3 linked regions of the Canis lupus familiaris genome follow. Each later gene encodes a partner of the first gene's protein in a complex. Links are inferred from orthologs where the notes say so. Each region holds a gene or a part of one and is shown in the gene's direction. Other genes may lie near its edges.

The links. Proteins that work in one complex are often made in the same cells at the same time.
Region 2: the proteins of RAB8A (region 1) and RILPL2 are in contact, whole or in part, in a crystal structure (PDB 6SQ2), measured with the Homo sapiens proteins. The link is inferred for Canis lupus familiaris from reciprocal best matches to the Homo sapiens genes RAB8A and RILPL2. Residues at the interface, in NP_005361.2 of Homo sapiens: Ile41, Gly42, Ile43, Asp44, Phe45, Lys46, Ile47, Lys58, Trp62, Phe70, Ile73, Tyr77; in NP_659495.1 of Homo sapiens: Leu135, Leu138, Arg139, Leu142, Gln143, Arg145, Asn146, Lys149, Ser150, Leu153, Glu157.
Region 3: the proteins of RAB8A (region 1) and RAB3IL1 are in contact, whole or in part, in a crystal structure (PDB 4LI0), measured with the Homo sapiens proteins. The link is inferred for Canis lupus familiaris from reciprocal best matches to the Homo sapiens genes RAB8A and RAB3IL1. Residues at the interface, in NP_005361.2 of Homo sapiens: Lys10, Phe33, Ser35, Phe37, Ile43, Asp44, Phe45, Lys46, Ile47, Gln60, Trp62, Thr72, Ile73, Thr75, Ala76, Tyr77, Arg79; in NP_037533.2 of Homo sapiens: Arg104, Glu108, Leu111, Glu112, Thr115, Ala116, Phe119, Glu120, Ala122, His123, Arg127.

What each region holds. Positions count from the first base shown.
Region 1 is NC_049241.1:46,746,590-46,754,185, reverse strand, and holds part of RAB8A (ras-related protein Rab-8A), read left to right. Parts: intron 1-1,506; coding exon 1,507-1,584; intron 1,585-3,071; coding exon 3,072-3,161; intron 3,162-3,756; coding exon 3,757-3,822; intron 3,823-5,173; coding exon 5,174-5,224; intron 5,225-7,596. UniProt on the Homo sapiens protein: The small GTPases Rab are key regulators of intracellular membrane trafficking, from the formation of transport vesicles to their fusion with membranes.
Region 2 is NC_049247.1:6,386,280-6,393,875, forward strand, and holds part of RILPL2 (RILP-like protein 2), read left to right. Parts: exon of another isoform or gene 1-424; intron 425-2,493; coding exon 2,494-2,607; intron 2,608-7,596. UniProt on the Homo sapiens protein: Involved in cell shape and neuronal morphogenesis, positively regulating the establishment and maintenance of dendritic spines. Plays a role in cellular protein transport, including protein transport away from primary cilia.
Region 3 is NC_049239.1:55,117,119-55,124,714, forward strand, and holds part of RAB3IL1 (guanine nucleotide exchange factor for Rab-3A), read left to right. Parts: intron 1-989; exon of another isoform or gene 990-1,008; coding exon of another isoform or gene 1,009-1,070; intron 1,071-2,336; exon of another isoform or gene 2,337-2,467; coding exon of another isoform or gene 2,468-2,661; intron 2,662-2,785; coding exon 2,786-3,020; intron 3,021-3,363; coding exon 3,364-3,459; intron 3,460-3,552; coding exon 3,553-3,630; intron 3,631-4,288; coding exon 4,289-4,507; intron 4,508-5,440; coding exon 5,441-5,587; intron 5,588-6,101; coding exon 6,102-6,230; intron 6,231-6,317; coding exon 6,318-6,430; intron 6,431-7,596. UniProt on the Homo sapiens protein: Guanine nucleotide exchange factor (GEF) which may activate RAB3A, a GTPase that regulates synaptic vesicle exocytosis. Promotes the exchange of GDP to GTP, converting inactive GDP-bound Rab proteins into their active GTP-bound form.

The sequences.
Region 1 (7,596 bases):
TTGATTAATGGCATGCCAGGGTCTCCTACTCAAGCTGGCCTTGGCTAGGGGATGGTAGACAGTGTGGCTGCTGAAAGCTCCTTTGAGTTATCCTGCAAGTGGCCTCTCTTCAGTCCCCCCAAGAGAGCCCTGGGAAAGGGCCCTCAGATAGCATCTTGATGGGTCCTGGCTATGGCCGTGGTTGTGGCAAGCTATGAGGCTGCCATGTGTCTCCTCAGGTTCCTGGCTGAGATGCGGGATCTGGTGGTTCTCTTGCCCTGTCTTTGAGGTTTTGTCACACATCCTCCTCATGATCATCACGCACCCTGCTCTCCTGGCACCCACAGCCTGTGTTCTTACTCTGCAGACTCAGGCAGCCTCAGACACATCTTAGCCAGCACCAGAGGTCATGGGTGCATGGCTGGGCCCTTGGAGGGGGTGGCATGAGGGAATGCAGTAAACCAGGCTAGGGCAGGATAGCTGGGGCCATGGGCCTCAAAGGTGGCCCTCAGCATTGCTTGGTCCTGATGAGGACCCAGGGAGGTTCCTAACTGAAGCTGGTGTGATCAGCTTCTTCAGAGTTAGTCTTGTCCGGGCTTCAATCTTAAAGGCCACTTCTGTGTGCCTCAGCTTCCCTTGTATCGAACAGGATGTTGGCCCTTCTTGATGGTGGTAAGATCATGGGCCAAGGTGGAAGTGGGTTCATTCTGCCGCTCTTTCTCGAGACCCCTGGACTATCTCCTGGGTGTTCGTGCATTAGCTGTGGAACCTCAGGGACCTCAGTGCTGCCCAGCCCCATGCTCCAAGCTGGCCCCCACTTAGATGGAGTCACTAGAATGCACAAGGGTGTCAAGATCAGGCCATCAAGGTTTCAGCCCCCATTTGTGCCCTTGGCTCTCCCATGGGACAAGTGGGCCTAGCCATCCCTCCACTTCAGGGTCTCCATCTGCAGAGTGGGGACCTTGGCACCCATCTGACCAGCACCTATGTAGCTTCAGTGAGACCCTACTGCAGTACCTGGCCCATAGTAGGTGCCAGATGAGAGGTCATGCTGGAGTGCCCAGACGAAACTCTGGCATGGCGGGGTGAGGGAGGGTGTGGAGGAGGCTGAGCACAGTAGAGGGTGGGTGTAAGGGGGATCCCAGTGGGTGCTGGGGCCATGGAACACAGCATGCAGGGCAGGGAGCTGTGGGACATGACGCTAGGAGGTCGGCAGGGCCTTGAGGGCTGCCAGGGCATGGGCCAGTCTTATCCTGCTGGCACTGAGGAGCCTATAGGGCTCATCTGTAAGCATGAATATGGTGGGATCTGGTCTGTAAGGTGAAGGACCTTAGTGGCTAAGTAGGCAGGACTAGAGCCTGGGGAGGAGCTGGTGCTGCAGTTCAGCAGAAGGAAGGGCCCCAGGGGTGGAGTGGAGGGAGGTAGTGGGGGGTGTGTTCTGTTGGTGCTGGTCCCGGCCATCCCACCTTGCTGGGGGCCTCCCCCTCAGCTCACAGCTCATCCGGCGTGCATGTCTCTCTCCCTTAGGGCATCATGCTGGTCTATGACATCACCAACGAGAAATCCTTTGACAATATCCGGAACTGGATTCGGAACATTGAGGAGGTAAGGCCTGCTGCTCCTCACATGCCTAGGAGCTTCATACGTGCCGTCTCCTCAGTCCCCACCCCAGAGCTGCCTAGTTCACAGACGAGATCACTGAGGCACAGAGACCACTAGAAGTCACTTGCCAAGAGCCCCGTAGCTAAGAACATAACCAGAATGGAGACTGGAACCCAGGCGGCTGACCCTGGAGTCCATACAAGGGCCTGGCCTTATAGGGTGGCCCTGAGAGCCCATTTCCCCAGCAGGCTATTGGGTTTGGGCAGTGTCTCAGGAAAGAAGGGATATCTGAGCTCTTGATTGCCATCAGCATTTGGTGCTTTCTAGAAAAGGAAGGTTCTAGAATAGGCATGACCCTTGCATTTGGTGGATATTGTGAGATGGCATTTCAGATTGTACTGAGTTTCAACAGAGCAGGGCATGAGCTGGTTTGAGCTAACCATGTTTGGGCAGCAGCTCTACAGCTACACCTGGCTGGGAAAGAAGACCTGGAACCAAGGAGGGAAAAGAAGGCAGCTATCCCTACCTTCCCATCCCACAACCAGTGCCCTTGCCCTTCAGCTTTGCATAGAGCTTGCTGTCACCTGCAAAGCCTTCTTGGACAATGGCACTTGAGGCTCTTGATGACTCATTAGGTGGGGCTTCAGGTCTGAGATGCAGCCAGAGGACTTCACCCATCCATAAAGCCGTGGCCAAAGGTCATATCACTGCTGGCATCTGTGAGCAGTGGCATCAGGCCTCCTCCTGACACCCCTGTATTTGCTGGTTAAGAGGCTGGGCCCTGGCTGAGGACAAGGACCGCTCATGTTGGATCTTTGTGGAAGAAGGGGGTCTTGCAGATAACAGGAAGTTAGGCTGGGAGCAGTACAGGGTATTTCACTAAGACCAGATCTAAGCTACACTAGGAAGCTCTCACACTCTGGTCCTTCAGGAAGCACAGGCCCCTCCTCTGGAGAAAGGGTTGGAGGAGGAGCCCTGTTCAGGCCCCGGGGGCAGTGGTGGGAGTGCCAAGGGATAGGGAAGCACCCAGGACTGGCTGCAGTAGGGGGGTGGGGGTGGGGGCACCCCAGACAGGCATGGCCCACTTCCAGAGCCCAAACAGAGCGAGCTGGGGGGTGGGGAGGCAGAGGGTCCTCCGGCAGAAGAGCCACAAAGGGAGGGAGGTGAACAGGGCTAAATAGCCCAGCCCTGCTTGCCTCCCATAGGCTAGTCCCTGCCAGGAGTCCAGGGATGACCTTGGAGCCTGGGTGACACAGCCCATAGAGAAGCTGTCATCAGCAGCCAGAAGGCATGTGGTTGCTCAGGGTATTAGAACCTAGACCCTGCTCTTGTGTTAGCTGTGTGATGTGGGACAGGCCACTCAGCCCCTCTGAGCCTCAGCTTGTCACCTGTACAAGGGTATGCTTGCGGTCTTCGCCCACCATGCTGATTTCGGGACAAACTGCATGTTGGCCTGTAGTCCCTCACCTCCCGTCCCCTCTCCCTGTCAGCATGCTTCTGCAGATGTCGAAAAGATGATACTCGGAAACAAGTGTGATGTGAACGACAAAAGACAAGTTTCCAAGGAACGGGGAGAAAAGGTGAGTGTGGCAACTGGTTTGGACCTGGTGCCGCATGGCAAAGGGACCTTGGGATTTTAGGGTTCTCTGCATGGAGGGTTCCCGATTGCTGCTGGTGAAGTGGGCTTTGGGGGAGACCCCTTCACAGTCTTTATGAGCATACAGTGACCCGCCATCCTGGCTTGTACAAGACTTCAGGGGTCTGAGACTCAGGACTTTGCCAAGCAAACCAGGACACATTGGTTGCACCATTCTGGTGCTTTCCTTGGGAAGGGAGAGTGGAAAGCACTCACCCAGCTGGGCTTCAGTCTAAAGACGGCAAGCACAGGGGCTTCTAGGGTGTCCTTCTGCTCCTGTATGGTGTCTGGTGGGAACGTGTTGAGACCACTGGGAGCAGATGACACAGCCGTGGTTTGAGCCAGGCCCCCCCATCCTCCTGCCAGGGACATCCACCACCTGCTCTCCACTGGGGACTTGTGGGAGCAGCCCAGGAGGTCAGATCCACAGCCTGAGACACCCCCCCACACTTCATTTCTACCCACTCAGGGTGGTTTGTTGGGCTTGGGGGTGAGTGCCTGGTGGCCGGTGTGCATGTGTGTGTCTCCCTTCCTCACAGCTGGCCCTGGACTATGGAATCAAGTTCATGGAGACCAGTGCGAAGGCCAACATCAATGTGGAGAACGTGAGTCCTGGGCCTGCAGCACAGACCCTCTGGGCTGAGGGACAGGCTGTACCCCCTGGGGAGGGTCTGCCTCAGGCTCCGGGCTGCCTTATCAGCCAGCTGGCCGGGAGACACTTTCTGGGCAGTGCCACATGCCAGGCCCCCCAGGGGAATCACTCGCTGCCATGTTGTGACATCAGCAGGTGCAGACTCTGGCTGGCCACCTAGGGTATTAGTATTAGCTCAGTGGCTTTTGGGCAATGCTGGGGAGCAGGCACAGTTTCGTAGGTAGAGAAACTGAGGCTCAGACAGGCCCAGCTGACTGGTGCCCAGGTCTGGCTCTAAGTTTGTTCTCTTGGACACACCACCCTCACAGACAGGCCCCAGGCGCTTGCCTAGATGGAGTCAGGAACCCTGGCTGAGCCTTGGCCCAGGCCACTCTCTTCGCCATGGCGATGCCAGCCTTGCAGTTAACCTGCAAGCCTCCATCCCACTGCCCCAGTAATCTTTCTAAAATGGATCTTCCATGTTGCTCCCAAGCTCAACCCAATACGCCTGGCAGAAAAGGTCCTTCCTTACCAGCCCCAGCCAGTGTGTGCCACCCACAGCTTGCTTGGGCCTTGCCCACCGCTCTCTATCCCAGGCTGCCTGTGCAGCACCTTCCTCGTACCCCCTTTACCCTTGGGAGCCAGCCCAGGTGGGCCCTCCCCAGGAAAGTGTCTCCTGTCTCCTAGACCCATATGCCCCCCTGCTTTGGGCTTCCCTAGCACCCCCAAGTCACCCGCCACAGCAGAACTTTCCACATCACGTGGCCCCAAGAGGGGCCTGGGCGAGCCTTCGTCAAGCATGAGGAGATAACTTTTCACCTGGTACCGCCCCTTCTAGGCCTCCCTGCCAACAGGGGCCCCAAATGAAGCTTGTTTGACTAAGAACGGCTTGTCTTTGTTTCTGCTCCGTTCCTGACCATCAGAAGCAGGGGCTGAAGTGGACAGAGCCCGGGAGTCCGGGATGGGGAGCTAGGTCCTCCTACTGGATCCTTCCAGCTCTGACAGTTAGACACTGACTGCCTTCAGACAAGTCACCGACTGCTTTGAACCAAAGTTTCCTCTCTGTTCAGTTAAGGACAGAGTCCCCACATCCCAGGTCATTGGTTCAAGGGAGGTGGCTATCCAGGTTGGCAGGAGTACCCCAGTAGTGGCAGGAGATGGGGCTGGACAGGTGACACCCACACCCAGGGAGCTACCCTAACTCTGGCCACCCCTACCCCCAACCCCACCATGTCTCCTACACAGGGGCAGCCCGGAACTAACAAGCCCCTATCTGCTCCCTGCTCCAGGGGCACTAATGACATAATGACATGCTTGTTCCACAGGCATTTTTCACTCTCGCCAGAGACATCAAAGCAAAGATGGACAAAAAATTGGTGAGTGTATGTCCTCTTTGAATCCTTGCATGGATCCCTGATGGAGCCAGCTGTACTTGGCCTTAGCTCTGTGATGCATCCCCAGGCAGATGCTACTCATCTGGGCCCAGCCAGACCCAGTAGGGCATCTCTGGGAAAGGGGCAAGGGTTTTAGCAGGAGACGTTTGGGCATCCACAGCCAGGTGCACTGGTCTGCTCCATCCTTCCTCCATGGCTCGGAGCTGCCCTATGCCAGGTGCTGTCTGCTTAGCCGGTGGGCTAGCAGGGAACACACGGCCCTTTCTGTCTCATCCGGGAGACAGCATGCGTGAGGAGAGAACGCCCTCTCAAGGCTAGTCCAGAGCCTCAGTCCACCCGGTGACAGCTCTGTGACCTTCAGTGGGTCCCCAGGCCTTGGGGCGTCTGAGGGGTCCTGCCTGAATTCCTCTCTATCCAACCTTTTATTTTCTGGCTTTTTTGTTTCATGGTCCCAGGCACTGGGCATTTCTAGTGGCACCTCTGGTCATGTCTACACACTTGGCTATATACCTTGGGCATGTTTAGCACCTGAACACTGCCGTGAGTCTTGACCCAGAGCCTCCAATCCAGTGGCCACTCTTTCCCAGCCCTTTCCCTCCCCTTGTCGTCTGATACAGTGTAAAGCCATCTATTTGTTGCTCAGGTTACGTCTGGTCATACAGGAGTGTCAGTATAACACAAAACGCCACTCAAATAGTTCACCTCCGATTTAATACATGCCTTCATCATTCTGAGGTGCTGCAAATGGAGTCATAAGGGATATAACCGATTTCGTAGCAGCCTTTTAACCAAAACAGGGAGCAGCCCACGTAAACACACTGACCAGAAACAGCATGTCGTTTTTCTATCATTTCTTTTCTCGTCAGTATGACAGTAAAATTGTGATTCTGGATGGTCCTTCTGACACTTGCCCACTGACAGTTATGTGAAGCAGTCATGATGACACCCTGCTTTCCTCAGCCTGTGCTTTTGGCATCAGCCTGTAGATTGCCTCCAGAAGCACTGTATCCTCCATAGCAGAGCCTGAAGCCCTAAGGTGCAGCCACAGTCCTTGCGAGTCCTCTTTGTCTGAACTGAATCGCACAATACTGACAGTTAAATTCCTACTCATTTCCTGGCACCTTTGTTTATATTCATGCACCATACCACTTCATCTCGGTCTTGTCTTCTTAATTGAAATATAATTGGCATGTAACATTATGCATGTTCGAGGTGTACAGTATGTTGTTTTTAATACGTTTGTATTTTGAAATCTGATTACTACAGTAGCGTTAGCTAACACCTTTATTACCTCCCTTAGCTATCATTCCTTCTTTGTGTTGAGAACAATTAAGATTGTGTCTCTTAGCAACTTTGTCGGCTGTAATCACTATGCTGTGCATCATATCTCCAGAACCTACTCATCTACTAGTTGCAAGTTCCTGTCTCTTACATCGCTGATGCGGCTGGCTCTGCCCACCCCTGCCTTCTCTCTTGAGAGTGTCCTAGAAATCCAGGCTCTGCCAATGTCCACCCTACTCCCAGATCCCTGGCGTTCTCCCGCTCTCCTCCACCCAGCCCTGCTCACTGCCTAGGTCACCCTCCCCACCTTGCACCCTGCTGCTTCCCTGTCGTCTGCTCCAGCCACACCGGCCTTGAACCGCAACCCCCATGTTCCTTTGGACTTTCCCCTCCACCTGACGTGCTCCCCTCCTGCATTAGTGTCCTGGGGTTGCCACCACAGATTCCCCCAATGGTCTTAACAGCTTGAACAGCACACACATATAAAAGTTCTGGAAGTCACAAGTCTGAAACGGGTCTCACCAGACCAAGATTACAGTATCAGCAGAGGTGCCCACATCTCTGGGGGCCCTAGGGGAGAACCTGCTTCCTTGCCTTGTCCAGCTTCTAGAGGCTGCCACCTGCCTCACCTTACGAGCCCTTCCTCCATCCTCCGAGCCAGCCACCCAGCATCTCTCCAACCCTGCTTCCTTCTTCCTGCTCTTTCTTGACCACAGCTGGAAAAGTTGCTCTGCTGTTTTAAGGAATTACATGGTTAGATTGGGCTCACCTGGATGATCCAGGTCAGTCTCCCCATCTCAACTCAATCACATGTGCAAAGCCCCTCCTGCCACATCAGATTTCCATCCACACAGGTTCCAGGGACTAGGGCATAAACATCCTGGGGGGCAGTTATTCTTCTGACCACAACCCCTGGCCTTTCCGTGGCCTCACTTCAGCAAAAACACTTCTCACCCTTTGCCTATTTTGTCTCTCATTACTTGCTGCTATGGGGAATCACTGCTTATTTGTTTACCCGTGCGATCTATCTGCCCCATACGGTGTGAGCTCCCAAAGGCAGGATCTTTTGTGCA
Region 2 (7,596 bases), on another chromosome or scaffold:
CTGCAATGAGACTTTCCCTCCCCTCAAGAGGTAGAGTCTATTTTCCCTCTCCTTGAGTCTGGGCTGCCCAGTGACTTGCTTTGACCAATGGAATGTGGTAGAAGCAATACTCTTTGGCTTCTGAGGTTAGGAGATACCCGTTGCAGCTTCCATTTTTGTCCTCGTAGAATTTTTTGTTCTTGTGGAATGCTTGAGACCATAGTTCTGTGAGGAAGCTCAATACAGTACCAGGGAGAGGTCACACGAAGAAGAGAGGTACCCCAGCTGACAGCCCCAACTGTGACCCGCCTCCCACATACCCCACCAAGGCAATAAGAAATGGAGCCATCATGAGAAATCATAAATCATGGGATGCCTGGGTGGCTCAGCAGTTGAGCCTCTGCCTTCGGCCCAGGGCATGATCCCAGAGTCCCAGGATTGAGCCCCACATCGGGCTCCCTGCATGGAGCCTGCTTCTCCCTCTGCCTGTGTCTCTCCCTCTGCCATTCTCTCTCTCTCTGTGTCTCTCATGAATAAATAAAATCTTTAAAAAAAATCTTCATTGTTTTAACTCATGTGGTTTAGGGTATTACATAACAATAGGCCATGGAAAAGGGGGTTTATTGGTAACAAATAATGTATTAATATTATTACTGTAATATATAAATAATAATATAAAATAATAAGAGCTCAGTCTTTGCCAAGGAGAGAGAAGGATGAATCGTGCTCTCTGACTCTCATATCTCAAGAGGTGTCAGTCTGCTGGGCTGCCATAACAAAATACCATAGACTGGGTGATTTGTTTATTTATTTAAGATTTTATTTATTTATTTGAGAAAGAGGACAGTGGGAGACAGAGCACGAGTGAAGGGGGAGGGGCTATGGGAGAGGGAGAAGCCGACTTCCCGCTGAGCAGGGAGCCCTGACGGACTTGGACTCAGACTTGAGCTGGATCCCAGGACCCTGGGATCACAAAATTGAGCCCAAGGCAGATGCTCAACTGACTGGAGCCACCCAGGCACCCAGACTAGGCAGTTTAAACAATAGAATTTTTTTCTCTCACAATTCTGGAGGCCAGAAGTCCAAGATCAGGGTGCCAGCATGGTTAGTTCTGACTCTTCGTGGCTTCTTGTACACAGCAGAGAGAGCAAGCCCTCAGACATCTCCACTTACAGGGGCTTTAACCCAACCATGGGGGCCTTGCCCTAATGACCTCATCTAAACTCCTGGGGATGGGGTTGGCTCTATAGGTTAAGCATCTGCCTTCAGCTCAGGTCATGATCCTGGGGTCCTGGGATTGAGCCCCATGTCGGGCTCCCAGCTCTGCGGCGAGCCTACTTCTCCCTCTCCATCTGCCCGTCCCTCTGCTTGTGCTCAGTCTATCTGTCAAGTAAATAAATTTTTAAAAAAAATTATCTCCCAAAGTCCCCATCTCTAAATACCATTAGACTGGAACTTAGGGCTTCAACATCTGAATTCTGGGGGACACAATCCAATCTGTAGGAAGGGGGAAGCACCACAGGTATAAAGTAGCAAGCAGGTGCCACAGCAAAACACCTAAGTGGATACACAAGCTATACCAGGTCAGGCATTGAAATATTGCATTGTAGTCAGGCTTCCTTTGGTTGCAAGTGACAGAAATTCAGTTCAAACTAGCTTAAGTACAAAAAGGAATTTGTTAACCCACATACCTGGGAAGGATTTTGGATTTTGGGGCTGTTTTCAGAAATAAAAAACTGCAGTCAAGGCCTCAGGGTTGGAGAAGCCAGAGACTTGTTGCCTCTTTCTTTCCTCCTTGCGTCCGCTTTGTTGGCCTCATTATCTTGTGTTGTAGACACACCTTCTGGGAGTCTTATGAAATGTGGTTGCTGGCAATGCCAGTTGAACAAATGAGAAAGAACATCTTTCTTCCAGCTTCTATACATCAAATCCATGGAAATAAGTCTAGTTCTCTTTAAGTCAACTGACCTCAATATCTTATCAATCAATATCAGTTTAACTCTACATACCATCTGACTTACTATACTTTTAAAGTTTCACTTAATTTATTTGTTTATTGATTGCTTCCTTCCCCGTTGGAAAAATAGAAATCACATGATAGGAGATAATTTTGTCTGTTTTGTTCACTGCTATACTGTCACGTGCTATGTATTATTTCACTAATGATGATTATCTCATTAATCACTCAGTCCTAGGAGGCAGTTACTCTTATTATCCTCATTTGATTTATTAGAAAATCAAGGCCTAAGTTAGAGAATTGAAACATGGTCATATTCCTAAAAAGTGGAGAAGCTTGGGTTACTAGCCAGTGCAGTTAGACAAGAGAAAGTAAGAAGAGGTATCAATATTGGAAAGGTGGCAGGGGGAGATTCTTGTTATTAAGAGCAGAATCTCTCTGACTCTAGCTATCAGTGATATTATTAATGTAATAATGATTATTAAGACCCTTCACTTTCAGAGCTTCACAGACAGAAGGTCTGAAATAAAACATCCCATTTATTCCCTTTTCCCCAGTGGTCTGATTCCTCCAAGAGAAGGCCTGGGAGGAAGAAGACAAAAAGACACCCTTGTCTCCAGGACCAGCAATGCCAGCAGTAACAAGGAGGAGAAGACAATCATAAGGAAGCTGTAAGTTACTTGCTGCCCCATTGCCACTAAATCATTGTTGAAGGATGGAGTGGAGGCCCAAGGAGGCTGGCTAGCTACCCAAGGTGGGAAGGCTCTACAATCCTGATTGGTCATGCTGCCACTGTTAGGAAAATCTGAGCTGGACTATTATGAGATCTGTTGGGCAGCAGTCGTCGTCGTCTTCTTCTTCTTCTTCTTCTTCTTCTTCTTCTTCTTCTTCTTCTTCTTCTTCTTCTAAGGTTTTATTTATTTCTTTATTCATGAGAGACAGAGAGAGGCAGAGACACAGGCAGAGGGAGAAGCAGGCTCCATGCAGGGAGCCCAACGCGGGACTTGATCCCGGGACTCCAGAACCACGCCCTGGGCCAAAGGCAGGCACTAAACCGCTGAGCCACCCAGGGATCCCAGAAATCTTCTTTTTTTTTTTTAATTTTATTTATTTATTCATGAGAGACATAGAGAAAGAGGGAGAGACATAGACAGAAGGAGAAGCAGGCTCCATGCAGGGAGCCCGATGTGGGACTTGATCCCAGGACCTCAGGATCACAACCTGAGCCAAAGGCAGACACTCAACCACTGAGCCACCCAGGTGCCCCTGTTAGGCAGCAGTCTAAGCACTTGACATATATTAATTCATTGACTTTTCATAGTGACCCTGTGAGGTAGGAGCTACCATCATCTCCATTCTATAGGTGGAGAAATAGGTACCAAGAGGCAAAGTAATTTGCCTGAGGTCACCCAGATAGTGAATAGTGAAGTCAGGACTTGAACCTACTACTCCAACAACAAGAAAAATAACAATAAGGGATCCCTGGGTGGCGCAGCGGTTTAGCGCCTGCCTTTGGCCCAGGGCACGATCCTGGAGACCCGGGATCGAATCCCATGTCGGGCTCCCGGTGCATGGAGCCTGCTTCTCCCTCTGCCTGTGTCTCTGCCTCTCTCTCTTTCTCTCTCTCTGTGTGTGACTATCATAAATAAATAAATATTAAAAAAAAAAAGAAAAATAACAATAATTACTAGAGTTTATGGTCCCATAAACTGGCTGGCTCAGTTGGAGAAGCTTGTGACTCTTGGTCTTGGGGTCATGAGTTCAAGCCCCTCATTGAGTGTGGAGATTACTTAAAAAAAGGATGGGGGGGATCCCTGGGTGGCGCAGCGGTTTGGCGCCTGCCTTTGGCCCAGGGTGCGATCCTGGAGACCCGGGATCGAATCCCACATCGGGCTCCCGGTGCATGGAGCCTGCTTCTCCCTCTGCCTGTGTCTCTGCCTCATTCTCTCTCTCTCTCTGTGACTATCACAAATAAATAAAAATTAAAAAAAAAAAAAAAAAAAAGGATGGGGGTGGGCTGATTCATTACCTCTCTTACCTCCAACTTCAGAGGACCCTATGTCTCCCATCATTGGGACACAACAGTTTCCTTTGATTACCCCCCTTGTGTTTATGCTGCCTTGTTAATCCCTCATTTCTTTGGGTGCTAAGGCCCAAACCAGAGAATGTGGGGTTACTTGTTTAAATTCAGATTCCCAGAGCAACCTGGGTGGCTCAGTGGTTTAAACGTCACTTTCAGTCCAGGGCCTGATTCTGGAGACCCAGGATCAAGTCCCATGTCAGGCTCCCTGCATGGAGCCTGTTTCTCCCTCTGCCTGTGTCTCTGCCTCTCTCTCTCTCTCTCTCTCTCTCTCTGTGTGTCTCTCATGAATAAATAAATAAAATCTTTAAAATAAATAAATAAATAAATAAATAAATAAATAAATAAATAAATAAATAAATGCAGATTCCCAAACAATAAATAAATAAAATAAAATAAAGTAAAATTCAGATTCTCAGAAGTCAGGTCTACAATGAAGCCAAAAAAATCTGGATTTCTTTTTTTTTTTTTTTTAAGATTTTATTTATTTATTTGAGGGAAAGAAATCGTGAGAGAGCATAAGTTGGGGGAGGGGCAGAGGGAGCAGGAGAAGCAAACTCCCCACTGACCAGGGAGCCCAACTCAGGCTGAGGTGCCAGGACCCTGAGATCATGACCTGAGCCAAAGCAGACACTTAACTGACTGAACCACCCAGGCACTCCAAAATCTGGATTTCTAATAAATTCCTCAGGCAACTCTGATGTGGAGAAGCCTTGGACTACACTTTGAAAGATGCCTTCTCAGCCTCCAGGTGTCATACAATGAGGCATGCCTTTCCCCCACCCCTCCATGAGGCAAACACCGTTTGCCTTTGCTGCTCCAAGAATGTCTGGCCTGGTGACAGTTACCAGCCCCTGACCTCTTGGACAGAGCTGAGAAACCACCTCAGTCAGGATCTCAAATACCTTTGGGGGCCAGGCACTTAATATGGGTGAGTGATGAGGGATAGAGGGGCGGACATTTGCCAGGGTCCTGGCAAGAAACAAATAGTGCATTTAAAAGGAGTGATGTGGGGATCCCTGGGTGGCACAGCGGTTTAAGCACCTGCCTTTGGCCCAGGGCGTGATCCTGGAGACGCGGGATCAAATCCCACGTCGGGCTCCCAGTGCATGGAGCCTGCTTCTCCCTCTGCCTGTGTCTCTGCCTCTCTCTCTCTCTCACTGTGTACCTATCATAAATAAAATAATAAAAATAAAATAAAATTTAAAAAATAAAAATAAAAAAATAAAAGGAGTGATGTGGCCAGCCCGTGTGGCTCAATGGTTTAATGCCGCTTTCAGCCCAGGGTGTGATCCTGGAGACCCGGGATCAAGCCCCACGTGGGGCTGGCTCCCTGCGTGGAGCCTGCTTCTCCTTCTGCCTGTGTCTCTGCCTCTCTCTCTCTGTGTGTGTCCCTCATGAATAAATAAAATATTTTAAAAATAAAAATAAAAAAAAATAAAAGGAGTGATGTGTAACTCAGTCGGTTATGCATCTGCTTTCAGCTCAGGTCATGATCTCGAGGTCCTGAGATCAAGTCCTGTGCTCGCTTTGGCAGCACATATACTGAGATCAAGTCCTTCATCGGGCTCCCTGCTGAGCAGGGAGCCTGTTTCTCTTTTCTCCCTCCTCTCCTTCCCTGTGGCCATGCTCTCTCTCTCTCTCCCCCAAATAAGTAAATAAATAAATAAAATCTTTTTTTTTAAAGATTTTATTTATTTATTCATGAGAAACAGAGAGAGGCAAAGACAGGCAGAGGGAGAAGCAGGCTCCCTGCAGGGAGCCCGATGCAGGACTTGACCCCAGGGATCACACCCTGATCTGACAGCAGATGCTCAACCACTGAACCACCCAGGTGTCCCTTAAATAAATAAAATCTTTAAAAAATAAAAATTAAAAAAAGGAGTTAATAAAAAGATTTAAAGAAGGAACATCTTACAGACACGTGAGCAGGGTTAAGGGAACCATCAAGGGATACAGAAGCACTCCAGCATGGCGGTGTGGGCCCAGGGAGCTGTGAGGCAAAGGGAGGTGGGGGGGGGGGGGGTCCATAGAAGGACATAGCAACTAGTAAGACCAGGCCTGGTGGGGAAGGAGCTGGGGCATAAATACACCTCCCCTCCCTATCTTCCCAGCACCTGCTGGCACCTCCCATTGGCTTGCTGCTCTCATCCACTGAGCTCAGCCTCTCCTGAGTAGACAAGGGGACAGAGAAAGGATGAGATGAATCTGAGGGGCACACAGCCCACTTAATATGCACATACATAGTTCAGTTAAGGGTTACCAGACTTTCTGGAATGCCTGCATGGAAAACTGCTCTGTCAAACAAGACTACATGAAACCAAAATAATTCATCCCTCCACCAAATATTTACTGGGGGCCTGCCATGTGCCAGGCATTGTTCTAAGTCCTGGGGATGCAGTGAACAAGATGAAGCCCTTGCCTTCATGGTGCTTACACTCTAGCAGGGGAGTCAAAGAGTGTGCAGGTAAGGAAGTATATTAACACTTCATCTTCAGCTATCCATTAAATAGGCAGTGGAGAGAGAAGTTGACAGGGGTAAGTCCTGGAAGGCTTCTGTGAGGAGGTGACAGTCAAGCTGGGCCCTGAAAGATCATAAAGATCTGAGGGAAGAGCATTCCTGGTGGAGGGAACAGGCAAGAGGCCTGAGATCAGTCAAAGCAGGGGGCAGGGGGTCCCAGTGAAGACCTTGAGTTTCACTCTGAACACTTTGGGAAGACACTGGAGGGTTTTAGGTTGGAGAGTGACATGACCATATTTACATGTAAAAGCTCCCTCTGTTTTGTGGAGGAGGTGTGGGGGGACAAGTCAGAGCATGGCCTGGGGGAGTGTTTCTTTCACAAGGAAGGTTCCCCTGAGGTAAAGTAAGAAGGAAAGAGCATCTCTATGCCACACCAGGTGGGGCACTTGGAGACATTTGTTCAGCACTTCTATTGGCTGGGCATCCCATTGTAAATAAGGCTTCCAGGAGATGTAAGCTACTGGTTTCTCTGCCTCCTCGAGGAGAGTTCTTTGGGCCCCTTAGAGTTTGGGCTTGATGTGGCAAAAAATAAAATGTTTGTTCTGTGCACAAGCCAGCCTGAGGTCTTGTGTCTAATGAGCACAAGGCCATAATTTCATGGTCAGACAAGCTTATTAAGCTAATTGAATGAATGAATGAATGAGTGAATGAACGAATGAACAATCTTCTGAAGAAGCAGGTCATGCTAGAAGGATTTTCTTTATCCTGAGGGCAGTGGGGAGCCATGAAGTGTTTTAAGCTGAGGAATGATGTAGCTCTCTGTAGTGATACGGTCGTTCTGGCCATGGTGTGAGTGGATTGTAGGGGTGGCGGGAAGGCTGTTGTGTTCATCACAGTGACTTGGACTGGGGGGTGGCAGTGGAGGAAATGAAAAGTGTTAGGATTAGGAACAGATTTGGGGTGTGATGACTAAAATGTAGCAGATGGTGGGGAGGAGCTGAGAACAACCCCCGGGTTCCTGGCATGAATGACTAGGCAGGGGATGATGTCACTTCCTGAGACAGGGAACTGGTGGGTGAAGGCAGTATGCAGAGGTTCATGGGAGGATGGCTGAGCCCT
Region 3 (7,596 bases), on another chromosome or scaffold:
CCTGTTGTCTCTGGCTGCAAAACTGGGCCCTATCTTTCCCAGAAGTGGGCTGAAGTGAGAGCCTGTTGGGAAAATGATGGGGGACAGTCCAGCCATGACCCCAGCCCCTACCCTCGGGACCAGCAGGAGAGTTAGTGTCTTTCACTCTAGTGGGAGGCCCAGACCACACTGGTGGCCCTCGTGGGAGGCACTGGAGGTCTTTTTCTCCTAGGCAGGGGCGTGGGTGATGTCTGGGATGATGTCCTCACAGAGGAAAAGACACCAGGGCTGGGTGTCTAGAACCTGGGATCCTGCCCTGTGTCCCATGCTGTCCCTGCTGGTTACCCCTATCCTTGGCCCACGTTTCTGGCTCATCCTGTTGAAGCATTCAGCTCCTGAGTTGGAGTCCGCTGTCCCTATCAAACCTGAGCAACTAGGGCCATCTGTCCTCTCTCACCTGAGGGATCAGCCCTGGTCCCCTGCTGAGCTGGGAGCCTGATGTGATGCAGTGCTGGATCCCAGGACTTGGAGATCATGACCTGAGCCCAAGGCAGACTCTCAGCCATCTGAGCCACACAGGAGCTCCTCCTCCAGATTTTTACTCCCATCCCACAGGTGGGAAGCAGCTTCAGAGAACTGTAGTGCCATTCATAGGGCTGGTGTGTAAGTACCCAGCTCAGAGCCCAGTGTGGACCTGGCCTCGTCTGCCTCTGGCCTCTGCTCTCAGCCACAGCTCCCCCAGCCTGGCCCGCCCTCCTGGGAGGCAGTTTCTGGGCCTGAGCAGAAGCTGAGAAGTCAGTCGGGCCAGAATTGGGTCAGATTTCCCTGCTGCAGCCAAGGAAGAGTCTCCCGAGTCTGCCTGGGACCAGCAACTCTTGATCTGGAGACAGATGCGCTGATTCCATCCTCAGCCCCCACCTACCAGGCGGGGGATGCTTTGGGTCTAGACCGAAGCCCTGGCTGCCTAGACAAGTTTTGCACCTCTCAGACACTCTGTCCCTCATCTGTAGGACGGGGACAGTCCCATGAATGACATCAAGAGCTGTAAATGAAGGACATGAGCAGAGCAGCCAGGCGGCACCTGGCACAATGTGAGTCCACTGGGTGATGACCCCAGTCTAGGGCCACTGTAGCACTGCCGCAGCCCCTCCTTGAGCCTCAGGAGCCACTTGCCAAGGGAGGACCCTCTCCCCCTCCCACCACACACACACGAAGGTGTTAGGAAGCATCCCTGTCTGGATAGACACTGTAGATGGAGAAATAGATGTGTTTCCCCACGTCATCTGTCAGAGCCCTGGATCCCTGCCGGTCAGGACCCAGCCAAGGAACCATGAGGCCACAGTCTGGGCCCTTTCCAGAGCAGAGAGCAGGCTGGGCTGGGTGTAGGGACAGAGCTACATGAAAGGTTGGAAGTGGACTCATTGCTGGGGTCCCTGGGCACCCAGTCCCTTTGTGTTCCCTGGGAGGGAGACTGAGGCTTAGGGGCAGCTTGGTGACTGTCTCAGGGTCCTGGTGACAGGGGGGACTGCTCTCTGGTCTTGCTTTTCACACTTTTCCCTGAGAAAGCCTGAGTCCCGTGACCCCTTGGCCTTGTCTTTCCTTCCCACTATATGGGCCCCCCCTGAGCCCCCTCCACTCCCCCCCACCCCCCACCCAGCCCCTCACCCTCACCCTCACCCTCCGCATAGCCACAATGGCTCCAAAGCTGCTGGCTCAGGAGCCACCAGCTTTTGCTGAGTGAGCAAGTCCAGAGGTGCTGTCTTGGCACAAACCACTGTTGGCTGAGCCCTCTCCCTTCCTGCCTCCCTCCCTCGGCAGGGTCTGTTGCAAAGGGGGGGGTGGGTGTGGGGGTGTGTGGATGGACAGTGGGGGGGGGAGGCGGGGACAGAGGCTGCTGGCCGGGGCACCACCCCTAGGGTCTCCCGCTTCAGGGAGCGGAGGGTCCTGAGGCCCAGAGGGGGGTGTTTGAGGTCATGAGGCCAACCGGCGAGCGCCACCCGTGGAGGGCCAGGACCGCGCCCCGCCAGGTTCAGGGCACAGGAAGGCAGTGGGCCCCGTCCGGGCTGTTTGACAGAATCTTCCTGCCCCATCTCCTGGCCCTGGCTGCGTCCTCCCTCCCCTCCTGCCCACCCTGAGTGGGGTAGGATTTGCATCAAATCTGCATTAACAATAGCCTAGAAGGCAGTTCCTTTATGAGCCTTGTGTGTGCCGGGGTTTTTTTTTTTTTAATTTATTTTATTTTATTTTATTTATTTATTTATGATAGATAAATAGATACATAGATAGATGGATAGAGGCAGAGACACAGGCAGAGGGAGAAGCAGGCTCCATGCCCCGGGAGCCCGACGTGGGATTCGATCCCGGGTCTCCAGGATCGCGCCCTGGGCCAAAGGCAGGCGCTAAACCGCTGCGCCACCCAGGGATCCCCTGTGCCGGGGCTTTGTGCACGTCAGATCCGCTTGGTGACCCTCGAGGTGGAGCCGTGGCAATGGTCCCCCGCCTTGCAGAAATGGAGAGCCAACGCATTTCGTCATCTGTGGACCAACACAGACTGAGCACTGGCTGCGTGCCGATCCCGGCCCTAGAGGGGGTTGGCACAGATGAAGGAGTCCTGTCCCTGCCCCAAGGAGACCCTGTGTTGGCTCATCCCGCCCTGGTGACAAGCCAGTGGCAGCCTCGCGGGTAGGGTTGCTGTTTCACAGAGGGGCCCAGGGCAGCCTCAGTGGCAGGCGTGGTCCTCAGGGCCGGTCCTGGGCTCAGCGCTGGGGCTCCGAACCCCAGCCTGTGTCTGCTTTTTGCCTCACAGCCAGCCCCACCCAGACGAGGGCCACCCGCCGCCCCTTGAAACCGTCCCGGTCTCCTGGAAGGGCTGCAGGGAGTCCCCCGGAGGCCCGGCAGAGAGCCCTGCTGGGGAGGAGGCCCAAGGTGAGGACAGCCCCACGGCTGCGCAGCTGGACGTGTTGCGCCTGCGAAGCTCTTCCATGGAGATCCGTGAGAAGGGCTCAGAGTTCCTGAAGGAGGAGCTGCACAAAGCCCAGAAGGTGGGGCTCTGGGGGTGGTAGGGCTCGGGGCCTACCTGGAGGCTCCCGTCAGGGCCACCTGCCTGCACAGACGCTGGGGCTGGGCCTGAGGGAGCACAGAGGAGAAACCAGTGCTTGTGACTCTGGAGGATTTTTTAGGAGTCTTGACTTCTCCGAAAGCCCCTTCTAGGCAGCTGGGGTTGCAACATCATGCCGCAAGCTAAGTGGGAACTGCGTCGTCAACTGCAGGGCGACAGAGGAAGGGGGTTGGGGCCCAGGGCCAAGGAAGAGGACCCCGTGGTGGAGCCTGGTCAGGGGGCCTAGAGCCCCAGGGGGCTGACAGCCACTCTCCCCGAACCCCCAGGAGCTGCAGCTGAAGGACGAGGAGTGTGAGCGGCTGTCCAAGGTGCGGGAGCAGCTGGAACAGGAGCTGGAGGAGCTGACGGCCAGCCTGTTTGAGGTACAGGCCTGCTGGCTGGGGGACAGGTTGGGGAGCAGGTCTGTGGGGTGCGCTGGCGCCTCATCACTCACGCAGAGCCTCCCTGCTTCCCAGGAAGCCCACAGAATGGTGCGGGAAGCCAACATGAAGCAGGCAGCGTCAGAAAAGCAGCTGAAGGAGGCGCGGGGCAAGGTGAGGTCCCCACCACTCCGGCCCAGCCAGAGCTCCCCTCGAGTCAGCTTTGGCTACCTGATCGGACCCTCGCACCCCCGCGTGTCCCAGGGTTGTGGGGCAGTGGGGATGGGCAGACCCTGCGGCCTAGGAAAGTGAAGCGGGGGTCTGAGATGCTACAGCTGAAATCCAACTCCCCAGCACTCGGGCAGTATTTCCAGCGCACAGAGACCTTTCTGGGGCTTACTAGGGCGGGGCGGATCCTGTAGTCCTTACAGTCTCTTTCCTGCCTGCCTTACTCTCCTTACAAAGCAAAAACCTTGTCTGGCCACGTGAGCCGGGGCAGGGAAGTTCTTCCTCTTTTCAGAGTCTGTTTGTACGTCTGTCAAATGTGAGGGCTGGGTAGTTCCTGGCTCCTGGGCCCCTCGGTGGGAGGCCCAGCCACCTCCTGGACAGGTGCCTCCAACAGAGCCCTGGCATACTGTGTGACCTCGGGCAGGCCACAGTCGCTCTCCGAGCCTCCCTTGCCCTCTCTAAAGCGGAGGTCTCATGCTGTTCCAAGGATGACAGGCCGGGTTACATGCCAGTCACTGCTGGGACAGGTTATCCTGAGCTGGGGTGGCTGGAGGTTGGCAGCCAGGCCCGCATTAGGCCTTGACAGCCATCTCATCCCGGCCAGATCGACATGCTGCAGGCGGAGGTGACCGCCTTGAAGACCCTGGTCCTCACATCCACACCAGCCTCTCCCAATCGCGAGCTGCACCCACAGCTGCTGAGCCCCACCAAGGCTGGACCCCGCAAGGGCCACTTGCGACATAAGAGCACCAGCAGCGCCCTTTGCCCCGCCATGTGCCCCACTGCCGGACATCCCCTCACCCCGGACAAGGAGGGCAAAGAGGTGAGGGGTGGCAGGAAAGGGAGACACGGTCTCAGTGTCAGCCAGGCAGGGGGGCCCAGTGGGGAGTCCTGACCCCTCGCTGTGTGACCTGGAGCCTGGCCTGCCATCTCTGGGTCTCTGTGTCCCCTGTCTGGGAGGGCTGCGCAGGTTTTTTGTGATAGGAGGTTTGGCCCTCAGCCTATGAATGTACCGTGTGTACCCCTCCTGTGTGCCATGAGGGCCTGGTAACCCCTCCACAACCCTCCAGTAGTAGGTGGTACTCTGTGCACCCGAGACTGGCCTGGGGCCTGGGGGCCTGGCCTAGGTGAGGGGGATGGGGAGAGTTCTTCAGGAAGACATATTCTCTGAGCCTAAAGAGGCCACTGCTGGGCCTCTGGGGACAAGCTGCTTGGGCCCTGCATGCCCATAGCCCTGAGGTCCAGGACCAGCTTGTGACATCCCTGGATTTGAAGGTCCTCAGTGCCTCTGGCTGTGGTACCTGGACAAGCACAGACTTTTGGGGCTGTCTCCCTCCCTGCCTCTGAGCTGGGTACATGGGGTACTTGGTCCAGGCGGGCAGTGGGCTCTGATGTCCTTGGCCGTAGGTCTTTGGGCAAGTAAAGGCACCTGCCAGAGCCTCAGCTTCCTCACATAAGTAGCGCCTCCTGGGGCCATGCAGACCCACAAGACCGGGGTGCTGGTTGCTCAGCTCAGGGCTGCACCCAGTGAACCCCACCAGGGCTGCAGGGGGACCCAGGCTCCTGTGAAGCAAGGCGGCCCCCATCTCCATGCTGCCCCGTGTCTCTGGGGCTTCCAGGGAGAAAGCGCGGGCTAGGCCTCTCCCCCACTTCTGAGTCCTCAGCTTCTAACTGGACACTAACATCTCCTCCCTACTGTCTGTTCTGTCTCTGTGCATCTGTCCGTCTGTCTCTCTTTGTCTGCCCCTCCCCCCAGCCTGGGCTGCCCCCCTTCCTCTCCCTGCTCCTCTGCGTGGTCCCCAGCAAAGCTGTTCAACTCACCTATGAGCCGGCCTGGCAGCTCCTGCCTGGGGAGCCACCTACGGCCCCCTCCTCTGCTACCTCTCTCTCCTTTTCCCAACAGGTAATGGCTCTGGAGAGGGGCCGCCCCTCTGCCCCTGCCCAGCCTCATTCTCGCTGCACATGCCCCAGGGCAACCAGCTAGTCATCTGTCCCCAGGGAGGCAGCCCGTGTGTGTTCCTTCTATGTGCGTGGGCCTGTGTGTGCCATGGTACCTGCGTGTGGGGGGTACCTGCAGGGCCGGTCTTCAGCTTTTCCTCCTCCAGGAGGCAGAGAGGTTGTTAGGGACGAGGCCCTGGACCAAAGTCTGTAACCTCATAGAGCCGAGAAGCTAAAAGCACACCTAGATATGAAAGCTTGAGTTCTGAGGCCTTCAGTGCAGAGGGAAGGAAGTAGTTCTTCTTGGGAACTCTGCCCCCCTGCTTAGCCACTGGGGACAGACCCGCTGGCAGGCTGGGGCCTGCCCTGCAACCCTCCTGGCCCCTCACCTCGTTCAGTTCTGCCTATCCCTGCCATGCTGCCCCCCTGCCCCCCGACCCGGCGTCTGACTGCCCCATCAGGCTCACCCTCCCCCACAGGTGGACACAACCCTATTCGCAGAGTTCCAGGCCTGGAGGGAGTCACCCACCCTGGACAAGACCTGCCCCTTCCTTGAGAGGGTGTACCGGGAGGACGTGGGCCCCTGCCTGGACTTCACGATGCAGGAGGTGAGGCAGAGGGCAGCTGGCCCCAGGCCCAGCCTCTCACGGAGGCCAGCCCCTCACTGACCCACCTGCTGCCCTGCTCTGCCGCAGCTCTCAGCACTGGTACGGGCCGCCGTGGAGGACAACACGCTCACCATCGAGCCCGTGGCCTCGCAGACACTGCCTGCAGTGAAGGTGGCTGCAGTCGAGTGTGGCAGCACCAAGTGAGCTTGGCGTCCTTCCTCCTTTCCTGCCCGCCACACCTAGCCTGGTGCTCTGCCAGCTGGGGACTGAGCCTCAGGCCTGCCTCCTAGGGTCCTGGTGTGGGTCCTGCAGGGGGTGTGGCTGGGGACTGAGCCTCAGGCCTGCCTCCTAGGGTCCTGGTGTGGGTCCTGCAGGGGGTGTGGCTGGTGACTGAACCTCAGGCCTGCCTCCTGGGGTCCTGATCTTGCAGGGAGTGTGGCTGAGGACTGAGCTTCCTGGTGTGGGTCCCCCGTGGGTGAGGGGGCGCACAGGCCTGGCTGGGGAGGATTGCAGAGGCATGCAGGGTGGGGAGGCATCTCTGGCAGAAATTCCTGCCTCTAGTCATAGATCCTCAGGCCTTCCGGGGAGCCCGGGAACTGGAGCCTCCCTCTTCTTGGCTGGCCTGACAGGCATCTCTCTCCCACAGTGGGTTCTGGGCTCTGACTGATGTGTAAGTGATGTCAGCTGCCAGCTCCCCTTGTGCTAATAAATAACCAAACAGCCCTGGCATCTTGTCCTTCCTGCCATTCAGCTGCCATCGAGCAGGACTCACAGCAGAACAAAATAGCCAGGGTGGAAGCAAGGGCAGAGATGGGGAGCACTTTCCTTCGGCAGCCCAGGATTTGACCTGCCAGGGATGCCCCACTGGGGAGACTTGTCACAGAGGGGAACATTTGAGCTGGGTTTTGAAGGATGGATCGGAGTTTGCCAAGTAGGCAAGGGCCTTTCAGGCAGAGGGAAAAAAATGAATGAAGGTTTGAAAAGCCGGGGTATTAATGGAAACATCACTGGATTTGTGGGCAGAGCAGTAGGGTGGGTGGGGAGATAGGGCTGAGGCTGCAGAGGCTGTTTGGGGCCAGAGTGTCAAGGGCCTTGAATGGGGTTTGGGGTTTGACCCATTAGGCCAGCATTTCACAAAATCATCAATAGATGTTTCCTGAAAAGAGGGCTGCTGAATCCAATCAGAGTCCCAGTGAACCTGGAGACAGCAAGGCACTGATAAGTCCTGCAGCCAGGAGCCTCCTTAACCTTCCTCTGCTCCAGAGTCTCCATAATGGTTTCCTGGGCAGTAGGAAAATGGCAGGGAAAGATGATGGGCTAGATGGGAGCTTTTGAAGGAGCCCCTGGCTGTAGTGCAGAGAAGGGG